Linked DNA regions of Ovis aries. The protein of the gene in region 2 purifies or fractionates together with the protein of the main gene of each other region. This does not show direct contact. Links are inferred from orthologs where the notes say so. Each region holds a gene or a part of one and is shown on either strand. Other genes may lie near its edges.

Region 1 (3,647 bases), on a different chromosome or scaffold from region 2:
TGAGACCAGGCCCTAAAGAGAAGGGAACACTCGAAGCCAGCTCTGGCCCCAACATCTACATGGACTCCCTAGACCCAGGACACAAAACGATGGACGCAGTTTGTGCATCTGTCCCAGGGCCCAAGGCTACTCATACACCAGTGTTTGTCCGAAGGTTCAGTCCTGTGCGGGCACAGAGGTCACGGGCTCCCTTTATCCTGACAGCTCCGGGAACACGGGTGGGGAGGTGGGAGGGCAAAGGCCATGACAGTGACCAGGGGTGGGCAGGAAAGCCTCCCCAGACCCAAACCACACAAAGACGGTAGACAATTCTCAGAGACTCAGGGACCCCTCGCACCCAGGCCCCAGCACCCAGGAGGGAGATACGACTTGGCCCGGGGTCTAGCAGCTGTCCAGAAGGAAGCTGGAGGGCTGGTCCTCCTGCCCTGTCCAGAGCTGCCAGCAGACTGCCCCTTCAGGCTGTTCATCTAGGCAATGCCTCTCTTTCAAGAAGCAGCCCCTCTCAATTTCCGCCTCTTCCCTGAACCTTCCAAGCCCCACCCCCTCCCACCTCTGAATTCCAGTTGCTCTGAGGACCACCCCACCCCCACTTAAGAGTCTCCCAAGCTGACTCCTCAGACTGCAAGAGTCAGTGCTATTAATAATAATGCATACTCACAGCACGCGCTCGTGTGCTTGGCACCACGCTAGGCACTCTACATATACGAGGTAGGTACTATTGTTATACCCATTGTACAGATGGGGAAACTGAGGCACAGTGAAATTAGGTAACTTCCCCAAGGCCACACAGTCCAAAGCTGAGCACCAGGATTCCAATCCTAGCCACTGACTCTGGAGCCCTGGCTCCTAACCACACAACACCTCCTCAACACCATCTTATTCACTTCATATCCCCACACATGTCCCTGAGATCAGCACACAAAACTCCTGCACGTGACTCTTAGTCTCCTTGGGTTCCAGGCTCCGGGAAGTGTGGGTCCCTATTAGGCAAGATGATAGCAAACAGCCACTAGATGGCAGCAAAGAGCCGGTTCCCAGTATCCCAAGGGCCAGGAGGGGTAAGAGGACGGTAACTTTTTCTCTCTTTAGTGCACCTTGCGTCAGGCACTATACAGACATGTCCTCCTCACTAAGGCCGTCCCCCTCTACAGGCAGGAAAGGACACACGCTGAGACAGGGCAGGCAGCGGGGAGCCCTAGGACTGAGGCCAGTTGCCAGGAGGAACAGACCAGGGAAATTCCCTCAGCTGAGGGGTCCCCCCAGGCCCAGGGTGGGCTCCACTCCCCTCTCCTCCATCCCCAGGGTGCATAGAACCTTCCGTCCGGGGAGGGGGTGGTCAGCGCGGCTGCCTCGAGGTGGTCACCACCCAGCAGGCTTCTTGGCTGGGAGGCGTTTGCTGTGAGATGGCAAGGCATACCAACTGCATGGTCTCAAAGACCACCAGAACAGCGCGGACCTCAGACCAACGTTCCTGGCCTTCACCACCGAAGAGGACACCGAGGAACCCCAGAGCCCCCACCCACACTCAGAAGCTGGCCCCAGCACTCCTACCCTCTCTGTCTTGGGCCCCCCCTGACCTGGAACCCACCCCCCAGACAGCTGGCAGGGCCAGAGAGTTCACGCCCACTGGAGCTAAAGAGCTCTGATTGCCCCTGTCTAACCTCCACACCTGAAACCCACCCCCGAGCTGGGCCGGCCTCCCCGTCGGCTGTTCAGAGGGAGCGGCAGCAGAGGCGGTGGGGAAAGTGAGGCAGACACATCACTCCCGGTGGCCGAGGTGCCCGCACAGGACACACAGGTGGGGGACCCGTGCCTGTCCCCAGGCCTCCCACTGTGGCCGGAGCCGGGGGCAAGGCCTCCAGGGCAGCTCGGGGACATGCCATCTTGAGCGTCGGCAGCTGGCAACCGTCCTGGCCGAGTCCACGGAGCCCTGGCTTCACAGCCACGCCCGGGGTGGCATCCGGCCCCTTTTCCCTCAGCCCTCCCGGGGCTCGCGCAGCCAGACGGGGCCTCTGAAGACGCACAGAGCTGGGGTTTATTGGGCTTGGGCAATTGCAGGTTCAGGCAGAATTTGCTCCTGGGTAGAAGAGTCACCACCTCAACTCTCGGTGCTTCGGGGGCTGCCCCATGGGGCCCCTCCCCTCGTCCCTGCACACGTGATGTCACCCCCTCCCTGTCCCTGGTCTCTACTCCTTCACCAGCCGGTAGATGTGGTGCTGAGCCCCGTGCTCGCTCGCTGACACCTCGAAGACGTACGCGACGCACAGCAGGGTCTCCTGGGTGTCTCTGTTGGTGACCACCTGTGGGGTGTGGGAGACAGTGTGCTGTCCGCTCCGCCCACCACCCACCCCCCCACACACACACACCTACCTTCCCACACCTGCACACAGCACACACCTGTCCCCCCACACCTGCACACACCACACACCTGTCGCCACACACCTGCACACACCACACACCTGTCACCCCACACCTGCACACACCACACACCTGTCCCTACACACACATCTGCCTTCCCACACCTGCACATACCACACACCTGTCCCCACACACACACCTGCCTTCCCACACCTGCACACACCACACACCTGTCCCCCCACACACACCCGTGCCTTCCCACATTGGCACACACGCACACACCTGTCCCCCCACACCTGCATATACCACCCACCTTCCCCCCACACCTGCCTTCACACCTGCACACACACACACATCGCACACCTGTCCCCACACACACACACCTGCCTTCCCACACCTGCACACACACACATCTGTTTCCCCACACTTGTCTTCACACCTGTCCCCCCCAGACACCTGCCTTTCCACCTGCTCCCACACACACACCTGTTCCCCCACACCTGCACACACCACCCACCTTCCCCTCACACCTGCCTTCACACCTGCACACTCCACCCACCTCCCCCCCACACCTGACTTCACACCAGCACACACCACCCACCTTCCCCCCACACCTGCCTTCCCACACCTGCACACTCACCTGTCCCCCCCACACACATCTGCCTTCCCACATCTGCACACATGCACGCCTGTCCCCCACACACACACCTGCCTTCCCACATCTGCACACACGCACGCCTGTCCCCCCACACCTGCAGGATGGTGAAGTTCTCCAGCACACTGTTCATCATGTGCTTCTCGGGCAGGTGCCTCAGCTTGTGGATGAAGTTGACCATGTACTCGCAGAGCGGGGAGCGGTGGATGCGGTAGGAGTAGTGGCCGTTCTCGTAGCGCGCGCACTCGGTCTGCAGGGCCGGGGACGCGCGGCTTAGGAGGCCGCCGCCCACCGCCAGCCCGGCGGTTCCCAGACACCACCCGCAGGTGGGAGAGGTCTGGGGTTAAACACTGTGGGGGACTCAGTGCCAGGGTGTTGGCCCCCCAAGACCTGATGTACAGCCGGTGAGAACCACCAGGATGGGGGTGCCTGGCCTCCCACCACTCCCCGGCTCGTGCTGGGCGTGAGGCAGGCTGTCAGTGGTAAGGACGAGGTGAGGGTGAGACTGCCCTAATTCAGACAAATCTAGGGGAAGAGGCGAGAAGCCCAAGCTGGGGGCGGTGTGTGTGTGCGCGTGAGGGGCCAGAGCCCAGGTGGGCAGCATGGCCTACCTCTACTTTCTCCACCACCTGCT
Region 2 (3,747 bases):
AGGGCATAAAACCAGTCTTACCAGGGCTTGTTTCTGACCGTATCTGTTTGATCTCTGCGTATCTGAATGTTTATTCCGTGACAGTTTATACTGTGTGGTCTCTGTGTATAGACTGAGCTCTCACTGGAGCTGAGCTGCAGTCTTGTTCAGCAAGGGCACTTTTATCTCACAAAATAGCCCCCCCTTTTATTTTTTAATAAACTCATATATCATCCTCCTCCACCCCCCCCAAAAAAACTTCACCCACTTTATTTTAAAAGCAGAGTTTGAAAATTTCATTTTCTGCTTTGCTCTCTTCCTCTCTGCCTTCCTGAATGTTACATGTTCTCCTAAGTTTTAAGGGGTTGTTTCCATCAGTTTGCTTTCTGATCCTGTCTTTTTTTTTTTCTTTTCCTTCTTTCTTTCTTTCCTAGAATTCTGTAGATTGTTTTAGTTTCAGGGTATTGTGTACAGGATATGTTTTAATCCTAACCATGTGAATCACTACCCGTTGAAAGAATGTTTATTTACGCTAAATAAAATAGAAAATCTCTTCTTAAAGTTGTCTTTAATTTGTGGCTATTTATATGATCTTTCCGAACTCTTAACATTTCACCCCCATCTGTTTGCAAAGACGTCTGTAAACATAACAAACAAGTATATTTAGTGAGTGAGTCGAGAAGACTCAGTGCTGTGCCTTGTCACCCAGCATCCATTTCTCATAAGCATGTATGGAATGTTGCTGCTCTGCTGAGGAGCGTGTTAGGCCTCTGGGTTGATCTTTCTGCATGTGTGTCTGGCTGGCTGTCTCTGTGCCCCTCTGTATTGCTCTCTGTCTCTGCATTTCTCCGTCTCTTAACACTTTTCATTATGAAACATATATACACCTGAAAGTGCATAAAACACGTGTGTTGTTTATAATTAAAAATATAACCAACCTTGTCATGATCACCAGGAGAAGAAACAGTCAGTCGCTTCCTCCAAGCTCTCTCCCAGGCACAGTTTCTCCCGACCTCAAGAGGTCATCACAGCTGCAACTGGCTTTACTTGATACTTTTAATTACCTATGTGCGCCATTCCAAACAGACTAGCTTAATTTTGTCTGTTTTTGTTTTTACTGGAATTTTTCTCCTGTGTCTTATGTATGAGGTCCTCTAAAGTAGTGGCCACGTCCTAAGAGGTTTTCTTCTCCCTGTGAATACAGCCTGCTCCCCGGGCGGGCGAGGGGTGCCTCACATTGGAATACCCACGGAGGTGCCCTCCGCCCTCCTCACTGCCCTGTTTCTCCGCTGTTAATAGACCTGGTGACGCTTTGGCCTGAACTGGTTTTTTTTTTTTTTTCCCCAGCCAGTATTTTGGTCACAGTCTTTACCACCTGTTAAAACCCTCCACCATCCGTGTGTCATGGAAAACTGCATGTCAGAAAAATTCTGCCCAGTTTCAGAGAGCGCAGAGCAGGGAGGGACACTTCTGGAGGTACGTAGCTTAATTAGGACCCGAACAGAAACTTCGGTCCTGCGTTAATTAATAAGCAATTTGCTTAAAGGGCTGAGACATGTCACAAGTCAGCTTTGTCACAGTGCCAGGTTTCTTGGGATGGTGATCCAGGGACTTTCAGATAAACAGCGAAAAGCTTACATTGTTCCAGCGCTCAGACAATGCTCGACATTGTATAGACAGGGCTGCCAGCGAGCAACCAAGGGCTGAAACAGTCGTGGGTCGGCCTTATGCACCGTCTGAAATGGTGAATGGAGAAGGGTCACCCATATGGATCGCTGTTGGTGTTCGGTTTGTGTCTGCTTTGCATGAAAATCGTTGCCTGTTAATTCTTCTCGGCTAATGATTTGATTTTAATAGAGCGAATTCCAGAATTTAATGGCCCGATGCAGAAGTGTGCTGCCAAGCGCTGGAGCGGTGTTTACACTGCCCCCGCTCCAGCTGGAGTCAGCCCGCCGCCGCTCCCCTGAGAGCAGCTGATGAGCGCCCATCTCTGGACGTTCGCCTCCTCCCCTCTTTGGAATCAAGCACATCTCCCCTTAGGTGGCAGGCTGATTAAAGTGACAGGGGACTAACCTGAACTTTCATCTCATCGTCCGCAGCTTTCTCCTGTACCCCTTTCCTCTCCCTTTCTTACAGTGTGTGTCCTTTTAAGCTGTTGCTTTTCCGATGAGCCACTGATAAAACCGATTGGCTGACCCCGCAGAGAACCCTTGTTTTATTTCCCTGATGAAAAGCACTGACCTCTTTGCCAGTGCTTACAGTCACCCAGGAGAGTGACTCGGGCAGCTTCTTAAAGGAATATGTAACAGCTGTGCCAGGCTTGACCTTCTGTTGAGCGGAAGGTAAGAGGGACGGAAAACAGCAATTCTTCTCCATCTAAAACCTATGTGAGGTTTCCGAGCCCCACCCTGCAGAACTCCCAACTGGGAACAGTTACAACCAGGTACCGGAGATGATGGTGGAACCCTTTTTCTGTTAGAGGCTTTATATCAATAAAGAGGGGGAGAAAGGAAGAGGGGAAAAGGAGCGGAGTGAAATAGAATCCCAGGATTAGCCGAAGACACCAAGTATAACTCCTGGTGTCCAGTATTAAATATAACACATCACTCATATATATGTGTGTGTATGTATAAAACATGAGTGAAAGTCACTCAGTCGTGTCCAGCTCTTTTTGAGACCCCATCGACTACAGCTCACCAGGCTCCTCTGTCCATTGGATTCTCCAGGCAAGAATACTGAAGTAGGTAGCCATTCTCTTCTCCAGGGGATCTTCCCCACCTAGGGATCGAACCCAGGACTTTCGCATTGCAGGCAGATTCTTTACCGCTGAGCCACCAGAGAAGGCTATGTAAAACACCATATAAATACATAAAATCCACACACACACACTCACATGTGCATGGTGTACATGGTTTTATATTGTGTCTAACAGAGAATGGGAGAGAGCTTTCCTGTAGAGGTGGAGGAATCCTTAGATACCGTTTAAGGAGAAAGTAGAGGGACCAACACCAACTCCTTGGCTTTCCCACCCGAAGGCTCCTCGGGATCCAACTGCAGCCCTCTGTTCCTGCTCACAAGTCCCCACCTTCTGGCCTCAGGGACGTCTCAGTGATGGGTGTCTTTCCTGGGTCCCCTTCCTTTCTTCCTCTCCTGGGTCCTGCTCTTCGTCATCTGCTCACACTCAGGCCTCTCCCAACTTTAAAACGAGAAGCCCAAACCCGCCCCTCCGCCTTGTGTTCTCTTCCTCACTGTTAGACCTCCTTGCCGTCCACGTCGCGGGGGGAAGAAGGTCGGTGTCCTGTCCATCCGCTGCTCAGCCCGCTGGCATCTGATTTCTGTTCCCGCCACTCTGCTGAAGCCCTGCTGGGCACGGGCGCACAGCGCCGCCCTGCTGGCGTGTCCTGTGGACAGCTTTTAGTCCTTAGTTTGAGTCTGTGTCTGCGGTGCTGACTCCTTCCATAACCTTTACAGTTTTTCATCCCTTGGCTCAAAGACGTACCTCGTCCCCACTCCATCAGGAATGGGGCGCTGCGCGAGGCATCAGCAGGGCTTGTGTGCTCCTGGGCGTGGGTAGGAGGGTGGATGAGAGGAGGCGGGCTGAGAAAGGTTTGCGTGTAGCTTGAGGACGAATTGGGAGGAAACAGGAGAAACAGGAGAGGGCGTGAACCTGCGGTGCTCAGGGCAAGGGGTGGTGGTAACCTGAGTCACTGCAGGGATGGAGGAGCGGGCGGTGGGGAGTAGATCTCGGAGAGAAGCCTGAGGGGACAT

What was found. The genes of interacting proteins can lie anywhere in the genome.
Region 1: the proteins of VGLL4 (region 2) and TEAD4 purify together in Homo sapiens (co-immunoprecipitation; 5 studies listed by BioGRID and IntAct, counting the BioPlex papers as one, with this or other methods). This does not show direct contact. The link is inferred for Ovis aries from reciprocal best matches to the Homo sapiens genes VGLL4 and TEAD4.

What each region holds. Positions count from the first base shown.
Region 1 is NC_056056.1:212,613,731-212,617,377, forward strand, and holds part of TEAD4 (transcriptional enhancer factor TEF-3), read right to left. Parts: coding exon 3,625-3,647; intron 3,264-3,624; coding exon 3,111-3,263; intron 2,301-3,110; coding exon 2,187-2,300; 3' UTR 1-2,186. UniProt on the Homo sapiens protein: Transcription factor which plays a key role in the Hippo signaling pathway, a pathway involved in organ size control and tumor suppression by restricting proliferation and promoting apoptosis.
Region 2 is NC_056072.1:55,592,647-55,596,393, reverse strand, and holds the start of VGLL4 (transcription cofactor vestigial-like protein 4), read left to right. Parts: upstream 1-1,415; 5' UTR 1,416-3,747. UniProt on the Homo sapiens protein: May act as a specific coactivator for the mammalian TEFs.